3 linked regions of the Oreochromis niloticus genome follow. The protein of the gene in region 1 interacts with the protein of each later gene in a biochemical or structural test. Links are inferred from orthologs where the notes say so. Each region holds a gene or a part of one and is shown on either strand. Other genes may lie near its edges.

The links. The genes of interacting proteins can lie anywhere in the genome.
Region 2: of the proteins of cul2 (region 1) and dcun1d5, one has a biochemical effect on the other in vitro, tested with the Homo sapiens proteins (2 studies listed by BioGRID, with this or other methods). The link is inferred for Oreochromis niloticus from reciprocal best matches to the Homo sapiens genes CUL2 and DCUN1D5.
Region 3: of the proteins of cul2 (region 1) and dcun1d3, one has a biochemical effect on the other in vitro, tested with the Homo sapiens proteins (2 studies listed by BioGRID, with this or other methods). The link is inferred for Oreochromis niloticus from reciprocal best matches to the Homo sapiens genes CUL2 and DCUN1D3.

Annotation. Positions count from the first base shown.
Region 1 is NC_031974.2:28,250,709-28,254,463, forward strand, and holds the start of cul2 (cullin-2), read left to right. Parts: upstream 1-1,619; 5' UTR 1,620-1,768; intron 1,769-2,723; 5' UTR 2,724-2,747; coding exon 2,748-2,866; intron 2,867-3,072; coding exon 3,073-3,175; intron 3,176-3,259; coding exon 3,260-3,354; intron 3,355-3,755.
Region 2 is NC_031979.2:35,192,417-35,196,171, reverse strand, and holds the start of dcun1d5 (DCN1-like protein 5), read left to right. Parts: upstream 1-1,166; 5' UTR 1,167-1,318; intron 1,319-3,755. UniProt on the Homo sapiens protein: Contributes to the neddylation of all cullins by transferring NEDD8 from N-terminally acetylated NEDD8-conjugating E2s enzyme to different cullin C-terminal domain-RBX complexes which is necessary for the activation of cullin-RING E3 ubiquitin ligases (CRLs).
Region 3 is NC_031973.2:19,638,252-19,642,006, forward strand, and holds the start of dcun1d3 (DCN1-like protein 3), read right to left. Parts: upstream 2,667-3,755; 5' UTR 2,132-2,666; intron 2,104-2,131; exon of another isoform or gene 1,891-2,103; intron 1,083-1,890; 5' UTR 1,020-1,082; intron 146-1,019; 5' UTR 95-145; intron 1-94. UniProt on the Homo sapiens protein: Contributes to the neddylation of all cullins by transferring NEDD8 from N-terminally acetylated NEDD8-conjugating E2s enzyme to different cullin C-terminal domain-RBX complexes and may play a role in the cell cycle progression by regulating the SCF ubiquitin E3 ligase complex, after UV damage.

The sequences.
Region 1 (3,755 bases):
GAAGTATAGCGTGTGGTTTACAGTAAGATATACAGTACTGTGAAAATCAGGTCTTGAGCCACACCTTATTTCTTTGTATTTTTCTTGGAAAATAGGTAATGGCTGCAGCGATTTACTGAAACGTGTCTAAACATGAATGGAAAAACGGTATATAAGCAAAATTGAAAAAGAAAAAAGGTTATTTTCACGAACAGGCTTCCTAAAGGACATTCAAAGCTTGTCTTTGTATTTTTCTCCCTTTTTGTTCCCTTCCCTGTCAAGATGCTGCTTCGATAATGTCCAAGTCCAGCCTTTGGGGAGGCCAATCCATGACTGCTAGTGTTGCATTGTGTTTTTCTATCCAGGTATGCTTTTACTGTCACAGTCCAGTTATTATGTAATTTGGCAAACCTTTCTTGTCTTAAGAATGGCTTTTTTGACAGTCACCCTTCCACTTCTTCTTCTGTTCTCTATTTTTCAGTATCATTTTTTTTAAGACTGCAAGCACACCATGCTGAGCTATGCTAAGCAATGCTAAATTTTCAGCTAATAGCTCTTTTCCAAAAATGCTATTTTATTCCTGTAAAACTGTGTTATATCTGTATTTTGGATTTTTTTTTCATAAATGGGACCAAATTACATGTTATTATACGTGTTATAAATTACTGGAGTGCAAATAACAAAGTGTCTAAAGATCTAGTTTCAAATTGTTTTTTTGCTGTTTTCACCTCTTCATCATTCTCATCATTCATAGGTTAAAAAAAATCATCTGAAAATTATCAGGTTAAATGACTAAATTGAAACTGAATGCAAAAGCAACCAAATAAACACTTTGAAAGACCTTTTTAAGCTTATTGGAAGTAAAATATAAAGAAAAGAGGGATGGACGACAGACACTGGTTTAGTTGAGATTTTGTTTCATATCAGTAACCTTTTGCTGCAATTAGCTGACAAATATTTGGTAACCAATGTAAAAAGCTGTTAAATGGTCATGTAAAAAACAATATCATGTTGGTCAAGTGTCCTGGCAACTAACTGATATTTTAGCACGTGTAAAGCATTTAGCTAGAACTAGAACTTGTTGGTAAACAAATATATTCTGCCGACATTGTACGACCTGTACACAATGCTGTATTTGAATGAGTCATAAAAGAAAAACTTACCTTGGTAGATGATGATGATTAACTGACACAATTATTTATTTATTTATTTATTTTTTTGCGTGTTTGTCTATCAGTGAGCCCGCTAGGCAGTGTTTTTTTTTTTTCTTGCCCATTCTGATTGGTTGATTTGATCAGTACAAACTGGAATTGTTGAAAATTGGAGCTTTGCTCTTGAGCTGTTTGGTAAAGTTGCTGCATATTTGTGGAACCTAAGGTGAAAAATAAAACAAAAAACAAAACACGTTTTCTAATAAGAAAACATTTCCCATCATAACCCAGAGAATATGAAAAATATATCATTTTTGATGGTCAATCCCTAAACTGTCGCCGTAGTTTGGGCGATACCATTTTAAACGGGTGTCCTCGTGATGTTGATTTAAGGGGTTTATTCTTATCATTACAAACATATTTGGAATAAATTATTTAAAATATTAAACTATTATTAAATGCAAGTAACTACAGGAAATGGCAACAGTATATTTTATGACTATTACCCGTCTCGATAATACATCGGCATCTAACAAAATGGTATAATCCAAGAGGTAGGGAAGACCTGTAAGTGAGACAAATCAAGCCTGTGACAGCGGAGAAATCGGAGTTTTATAACAAGTAATTACTGTACAGAGGTAAGTACTATCCAGGAGTCCTCGCTCGACCTTAGTGAACTGTTTTGTTTAACAGCAGCACCGTGTTCTGCCGAGCTGTCAGTGTAAATGTGGGAAAATTGTGAAGAAGATGACAGTTTTGCTAGCGATAGCTGAGCTACTGTTAGCTTGCTGCTAGCCGACTGCTAGCTGATTCCCCAAAACTGTGCGGACTTGAGCAGGAAGAAGTTAGCTTGCTAGAAGCTAGTTAGCCTTTTAGCTCGCCATCCTATTTTGGGATTGGCATTCCGCTAGCTAGTAACCTTAACTTAGCTACGTTAATCGCGACTGCGAGAGGAATGTTTATTAATAACGCTTCGTGTTGTATGTCGGGCATCTGTAAATGTGAAGTGGCTGATGATGTAGCGGTGTTTTCTGTGACGTGAAATTAAGTGATATGAATGACAAGAAATAACACTGGGCCCAGTTTTCACCTTCTGGTCATGTAATCTGTGATGGTACCGGCGCACACCTAGAAGCTGGTACTAATATTGCTAGGTAACGTGCGTAAGCATGTCTGCTAAGTGATGCTGACACCAGTGTGTTCCAAGTTTGACCGTTAATAATGACACAGTGAACTTGTCTATTCTGTTGATCTCATCTGTTGCTGCCAAACTGATGGCTGATGGTGTTACACTCATTTCTGTTTGTCTACATATAATTTTTGCCTTAAGAGTAATGCTGTTTTCGTATTTGTATTATGGTTCATGTGGATGTAAAAATAAACAATCGAAAGAATACACCTTGCCATGGTTTCTTTTGTGTTGCCAATGCTACTGAGGCTGAGTTGACTGTTACTGTCTTATATAAAGCAAACTACACAGTTGCATCATTAATGAAGAAACGAAAGCCAGGAACTAAGCCCTTTATTTGTTCCTTTTTAAAATCTCTTTGCACACTCCTCTTTTCATGTGCATTTTTTCTGTCGTTCTCTTAGGCTAAAAGAGTACAAAACTGTACAATGTCCTTAAAGCCACGGATGGTAAATTTTGACGAGACATGGAACAAGTTACTGACAACGATCAAGGCTGTGGTGATGCTCGACTATGTGGAGAGAGCCACATGGAATGATAGGTTCTCGTATCCTTTACCAGCTCGCTTCATGTTTAACCAATTTAACCTGCAACATGAGATTTTTTTTTTAAGTTTCAGCACAGGGTTTGAGTGTAAATACAGATTTGCCAAAGCATTGTTGTCATTGTAAAATACATTTGTGTTTATTCATTTTTAATAGCTAATGTGTGTATATTTACATCCCTCACATTATTCCTGAACATTGTCACCAGTGACATCTATGCCCTGTGCGTTGCATACCCAGAGCCTTTAGGTGAAAAGTTATACACAGAGACCAAAATCTTTCTTGAGAACCATGTTCGTCAGTTGTACAAGGTAAGCAAAAGTTCTTCTGTGCTTTTTCTTTGCTTATCACATCGCATTTCCTCTAAAGCTGCCACGCTTGTGTGTGTATTTCAGAAAGTTCTGGAATCAGAGGAGAAAGTTTTAGTGATGTACCACAGATACTGGGATGAGTACAGTAAAGGAGCCGACTACATGGACTGCTTGTACAGGTAACATTTCTGCTTTTTTTTGTGTGTTTGTAATTTCAGTTTCAATTTGATGTTAGTGAGTCACAGAGTTGTTTTACACCATTTACTCCAGCCTTTTTTTCTTTTTATCTATAAACACAATGATTGGACAGCCTGTGTTGTTAGAGGTTTCCAGATTCAAACCATAAACATGTCTGTAGTTGGTTTTTCACATTCACTTTTAACTGAAGGCACGAGTTCACCCAGGCTTCTGTGATTGTCAAGTCCACTTGTTTGTTTAGCGTTCCTTAATGCAAAGTGTACTAATTCTGTTCCTTTACAAGGCTCAGTATTCCTGCCTTTAGTTTTTGTCCCTTAAAATATTACTTTGAATGTTGTTGTATGAGGTGCCAAGAGGCTTTCGGTGTGTCTTTATTCACTCT
Region 2 (3,755 bases), on another chromosome or scaffold:
CTTCATATTACCTTAATTAAGAAAATGGTAAATACACAAATACAATGTCACTGTGAATGACCTAGATTTTTTTTTTTATTTAAGTTTTTCTTTTAAAGAAATCTATGAGAATTTGTGCTGAATATTTACATTTTAAGAGATGGTGTATGGGCCACAATCATGTGCTGCATACACCGCACAGTTACAGGAACACTGGGTTTATTAATGTTCCAACAGCCCTCAGTATAAACATTAACTCTGAGTTAATAAACACTACACAAGTCTCAGGTCAAATGTTCTTTTGCTTACTAAACCTTTAAAAACAAAGACTAGAGAGCAGCAAAGTGTCATATAATGACACCTGTTATATGCATATGTTTCTACTAAACTATATTTTGCATGTAGATTATACTTTTTATCCATAACATTTATTTTTAAACTTGTTATTTTGCAGATAAATTGTGTTATTAAAGGTCAAGCTCTCACTGCAGGATCATCCCTGGATCATCTGCCTCTATCCCGTCCATCCTGCTCACTCCGAACAAACATCATAACATCCTAAACTTCTCTGTCTTTGGCCTCATGTCCTGTCTCCTGCCACTGTCTCCAAACCATACATCACAGCAGGTTATGGAGGGCTTCTCTTTTACTCTTGCTATCACTACCTTTCTGTCATAAATCACATCACCCCTGACACCCGTCTACACCCAGTGCACCTAGCCAGCACCTCCTCTCCACCTCAATGTTTCGTTTTAGTTAACTAGGATAACCTTGCTTGTCGTTAACTCAGAGTGATGGACGAGTTTTTGAACTATGAACAGCTAAAAATAAATAAAAAGTTCAGAGGAAACTCTATGTTAGAAAAATAGCTGACAGAGATTTTACAGTTTAGCATAAATGTTAAAAATATTTTAAACTTTATTACACCCTGCCTCTCGCCCTATGACAGCTGGGATGAATGGATGGATGGATGCATGGACATGAGTATATGTGAGCATGTGAGCCAAAAATAGGGGGACTATTTCTTTAAGAACTAAAACGATATATTCGGCTCTTCGGGGTGTACATTACAACCATCAGATGTTCTCGTTTGGATAACTGTTGTCTAAGTCCATATATCCCTCTTGTAAATGAGGTTAAATGTCATGTTGTATAAACCTCCATTCTTAAAAAAGAGCGTTCGCTCACATTTCTCTGAAGAGGGGAACGCTTGTTTTGTGTTGCACCCCCATAAAGCGGTGGTATCGTCCACTCTCACGGAAACGCCGGCTCCAGCCAAAACTCCGGCAAAAGAGAAGCAGGTGGAACTGAGACAGTAGTGAGAGTGTGACTGAAAGTGGTAAGTGTTTAAAACAGTGCCCTATCGATTACCAGGTGTTGCCCCAGGCACCTGTCTTATATTTGCTTCTAATTATGATGCGAGTGATTTAAAGACTTTTGACGCGTGTTTGGACACATTAGCAGACGTTAGCAGAGCAGCTCTGAAACCCGCGGTGCGCCACTAATGTTAGCTAGCAAACAAAAGAGGTTCACTGTGAGTCAAGACTGACTCTTGGAAGAAAATGAAGGAGATAAATGTGGATTTTGTAATACGAGTCATGTTTTTGTGACATTTAAGTAGCGATAAAATACGACATCCTGGCACGAAGTCTGCTATTAATCATCCTAGCCTGGGTAGCTAACGTTAGCATCAACGGCAGAGACCCGCAGCCGTTTGGATTTTAGCCCAAAGTTTAAAGTTTAACAGTGTCCAGACCCTTAACAGACTTTTTATTCAATATGTACCTGTGTCTTGTGCTTTAGGTGTGTGTGGTGGAGGAATGGTGACATAATCCTGACGTGTGTGTTTCCCACAGAGCTTTTTAAACTGGTTCTGCAGCAGTGCTGTCGTTACCATGTTTATTTTTAACAGTTCAAACGCTGGAAAAAGTTCGCGTTTAATGTCGCAGACACTGCAGCTGCGCGACAGTTACGTTTGGTGGTTTTTGTTGAAATGCAAACGCGACAGCGCCTGTTTTCTTCCGAGCAGTGTCCTCGTTCTTCTGGTGAGCTTTTATATCAAGTCTGAACACGAAAACGGAAATTTAGTGTGATGAGGCAGTCCCTGTTTGCTCCTTCCTTTTAACCAGCTATGCAGGCCGAACCGAACAAAAACAGTGTTTACGAACTGGGCCATTTCAATCTCCAACAATGGCGTCACCATTCATTTTAACAGTACTCAAGTGAATTTTGTGCATTTATGAATCGTACTTGTGACAGTTGCTGCGATGCCACACTCTGCCTCTCCACACATCATCTCCAGGAATCACTTGAATGATCCTAATGGCGAGTAAAGTCACAGAATTCATTGTTGTGTATGTGTCTGGGATATGTCTGCATATGATCATAACTTCCACTGGGTCCTATACTTAAAGGCTGTGGTTCCCCAGTGCTGCCCTGAGGCAAGTCAAGGTGTCCCCTGAGATTTTTGAATCAACGAAACATTGTAACGGCACAAAGTACTAAATGTCATTTCAGTTGACCTCATTGGCCTGATTGATAGTGAGGAGATATAATTGAGCAGCTGGACTTGTGATGTCAGCAGCCTTCAGCCTGAGTTAATCTGTTAATGCTAATATAGTGAGCTAAAGAGGGCCTTGGAAACTAAACATCCTTTTATAGAGAGACTTCACCTGCTTTAAAAGGGTAAAAGAGAGCTGTGTCTGAACCAGAGGCAGCAGGAATCTACACTACATAAACAAAAGTTCTAGGCTGCCCACATATTACACCCACAGGAGCTGCTCTGCCGTAGAAACCCATGCCATGAAGCTCCCAGTGCACAGTTTACATGCTGATCTTAATGTCAGAGGAGGTTTTCAGGTCTGCAGTTACTGAGTCAGCAGAACATATGTGCTTTACATCTCAGCACGCAGCGATCACACTCTGTAACTTTACATGATCTGCCACTTCGTGGATGAGTTATTGATTCCTGAACACGTCCACTTTACAATAATACAGCTGACTGCGGAATATCTAAAAGGGAAGAAATTTCACCCGCTGACCTGTTGCAATAGTGGCATCCTGTTTCAGTAATACACTCAATTTCTTTTAATTCTTTAGAACGACCCATTCTTTCACAAGTCATTCTAAAGGCTGACTGCATGGCTGGGTGCTTGATTTTATACACCTGTGGCTATGGAACTAAAAACACCTGAATTCAAAGACTAAGAGGTGTGGCCCCATATTTTTGACCATATGTATGTGTTTTTGTGTGATAAGAGGATGGATGCAAGTCATAATTTGGTGGTGTTCATTGTATTTCTTAAAATCAGCTAACATTGCAATCAAAAGAAGGGATGATATTTGAAAAGAGAGAGTATGACATGACATTCTGCACATATGAAGACAGCCGAGTCTTAATTTTTGGTTTGCTGTTTGTTTTGCTTTGGGACAAAGGCTTAAAAATCACAGCTCTAAAGGCAGAAATCGGTTCTTTCCTTGAGTTTCTCAACATTCAGTTGACTGTAAGCCCAGCAGTGTAACTGCAATGAAACTTCAATTAACAACGACGCACAGATATGATCAGAATGCCTTGGCTTTGGAAATCTGCTGATACAAAGTACTCCCTTGATGCCAGTGTTAAATAAATTTTCTTCAATCTTCATTTAAATCTTGAAGTAGTGCTTTTTTTGGTTTGTTTGTTTTTCAAAAACAACTTTGTCTAGTGTTGTTATTTTTGATAATTTCATAAATATCTTGAAAATGACTCAAATTCGTATTAGCAGAATGAGAGAACA
Region 3 (3,755 bases), on another chromosome or scaffold:
TATTAAGAAATAAAGAAGTTACACCCCGCAACTCTCAACAAAAAAGTTAAAAAGTGGATATTAGTACAGAGAAACACAGAAGATGTCAAGCTACCTCTGCTAAATCTACCACGATCCAAGTCTTCAATGGGAAGATTTAAAAACCCTGAAAAACAAAGCAAAACAAAAATAATCTATAGGCATGAATACAATGCTTAAACACTGTTCAGGTTACCATAGAAACCTTGTCAAAAGTAGTACAAGAGGAGTATCACCCTTAACCACAGAAACCTACCAGTGGGTTATGTGTTAAGTCAGAAGACCTATATAACTCTTATATGACGGCTGTAGGAGCTTTTCTTGGTATCACCATAGTTATAGGTAGTTAGTTATAGGTAATTAAAATAGGAATACAGTTCTATAAATATTGTGATACAAATAACTGCATTTATAGGTCATCCTCTGTGCTGTGTTCACATTAACGGTGTGTGTGTGTGTGGAGGGGGGGGGGTTCTCTTTGAACAGAGGAAGTTTTACCTCGTTTTATACTAAGCAGTAGATTATTGCACCATATTGTTTCTTCATTCTCTACTAGCAATAATGAAAGCAGATGAAAAATAAAAACACTGGAAACACCAAACATTGACAAAGAATACAGGGCTACTATGGTTATCCATGTCTCTTTAGGATTTTACAGCAACATATGTTAATTACACTGGCTCCAGATAGTTCGCATTTTTTTATACTAATATTTTGAATCTTGCAAGTTAGTATACAGGACTTTCTAGGTTTTCTAACAAGTAAAATGTGGCAAAAACACAAAAGGCATACAAGATTATGAAATCCTGACCAAGTTGCAACTAAACTGGAGTTTACATTAATCAAACTAAAGCTTGCTTTGTAAACTGCTTTCTCTACCTACCCATTTAACTTAAAAAATTGTTTCTTTGATGAATGCATGTTAATGAAATTAATCAGTCTGCTGACGGAAAAACATGAGGTGATCATGTGTCTGATAACTTATAAAATAGCTGACTTACAATCCTTCAGATGGCATTGTCTTTCTACTGAGCTCCATCATTGTGACCTTGCCATCCACAATGCTGAAAAGACACATTATCTTGTCATCATAAGCAGAAAGTGATAGCTCATCATTCCCAAACCTGCAGGTCTATTTTGGTCGACATGCTATGAATATGTCATTTGAGGACTTGCAAAGAGTTAGCCTTGTTTCAGGATTTTTCATTTACTTGTTTAGAACTGGAAAGAAGTCAGCTATGTTGCATACTGTGAACTGTGAAAAGCTGAGCTTTGACACGTTTGGTTTTAAGGAACTACATCTCAAAAGGGCCGCAATATTCCAGTTTGTGATGTAAAAGCTACAACTTCAGGAAACTTCTCAAACCAACTTCTACTTTTTGCAGTGATCACTGACCTAACAGAGATACGACCCTTGACTTCATATTTAATGCATGTATTCAACATCAGGGCAAAAAGCCAGTCCTGATCAATACATGGGGCATGTAGGGGCAAATCTCTCTCAGGTCTGCTGTGGCCAAGTTCACCTAACTAAGCTCAGATGGCCGTCTGAATTTCTATTTATTAGATTTTGCTTATTTGGCCAAATATAATCCACAATAAGCTGGCACGGGAGTTAGTAAACACTAAGCAGCCTAGTGACCTATACAGCCAGTAGTTTAACCAGATTATTAGCTCGTCCCGAGGTGAACTGGAATACGACTGTGTTACATATGCAACACTGTTATATCGATATATCCTCAGCTGCCCTTTACTAACATCTACAATAATATTATTTCAAACAAGTTAACGTTTGTTGGGCGGGTGAGCATAACAACACAAGTACAACACTCAAAAATATAGTGTAAACCGGCATTAAATAATCACCCGCACCTCGGACTTGTAACTATTACACACAAATTCAGATGGCAGTCGTTGTTACGCTGCTATTGAGCCACATTAGATCACCGCACCGGGCCATTTAACAGCTCCATCCCAACTGCCCGGCCCTGGCGACGTCGTCATAGCTAGCTAGCATCAGCTCGATTAACTAAAAGTTAGCTCTCGGCTATGCTAGGTATTTTTCGATTAAGACATCAAGAAATAACAAAATTATCACCGTGAAAAAACTTACCTTTAGGGGAAAACACATTCGGTCGAATGTGGATGTACATCACTTTGTGAATGGCTGAAGAAATTAAGTAGTTAAACAAGTTAGCCAAAAAATACGAACTGAAGCAAACTCGTCGCGTTAACTCAGATTGCTAGCTAACTAGCTAGCAGCTGATCAAAAAAAAAAAAAAACTTCCACATCAATGTTGAATTCTGTTCCACGCTTAGAAAATAAATAAGTAACAAGCTAGCAACTAGCTTTAGAGTCCATCTTCAGTTGTGTTCGCTGTTAGGTGTGAGTTAAAACGCCAGCTCGGACTAAAGCACCCAATTTCTTTGTGCTTCCCCCTTTTAGTCATTGAGTGGAGCTACATTATGGACATTTTCCTGCATCACTTCCTCCCTGCTTACAAGCACCCAACAGCTGATCCTCGCGTCTGCGACACTAACATACATCCTTTTTTTTAACCAATTGATGGAAGTATTCATATGACAAGGACAAAGTGGATGTTTTGTAGATCACAGTAATATCCGAAATGAAAAATGACTCAAAAACCCCACTGTAAATTAATTACAATTGCTCATACACATTGAACTGTAGAGGTGTTTATATTAATTTCTGCCTTATTTCTACTTTTTATCCACTAACAAGTGAAACAAATACAACTTTGACTAAAAGTATGTGAACTCTTTTATGTTTGTGTTTATTATTTAGCTTCTTCCCGATTAGCCATGGGTACGCGTCATCATTAGGCGACTGTCCTAGCAAGCGGCTGGTAAACTATCCTCTTCTTCAGACACAGGCGGTATGTCAATTCTTCGTTTGTAGTGTTAATTAAATTATGATGAGCGAATATTCGATTAAAAGCTGTTAATGTGACAGGCAGTAACGTTGACTTTAATTTAATGTCCCTGTCTTTGTACGTTTTGGTCAGTCACAATAAGGGCTAGCTTCAAGTTTGCAATTGATGCTAAAACATCAGTGAGTACAAATAACAAGAATGGTTTTATTTAATATACAGCGTCATTCAGTCTCCGCGCATACTAGAACATACAGTTAATACCTCTCCGTCAGTCATGTAACACTTTGTTTAATAACTCAGTGTTGATTTTAGTGGCATCTAGCGTTGAATAGGGCTATTATATTTAGCTATAATTTAAAAATCTAAAACTACAGTACTTTGCAAAAGTCTTTTCTTTATATTTTGCAAGGAAAATTTGAAATAATTTATATTATTTATATAATAGAAATACAGGCTAAACCGAGTTTTGCAGGCCTTGAAGGTCAATATTTGATATGACCACCTTTATTCTTCAACGCAACATCCTGAAGTCTCTTAGTCAGCTAACTTGCCATTTTATTAAGTAGTCTCCAGGAAAAGTTCTCCAGGCGTCTTCAAGGACATTCAAATCTCTTTTTTTATTATTTTTTTTATTTTCTGTTCTCCCACACTGTTTCAGTCATATTGTGGTCCATGCTCTGGCGGCCAATCCATGGCATTTCACAGACAGCTGTAGACACTCACTGTCATTGTTCTCTACTGACCTCCTTTGTACATAGAGTGACAATGATTTGTAAATGAATTTGAGAATTTGGATTCCTCACTCCATTAAGCCCTGTTGCCACTGATTTTTCAGTCCAGTTC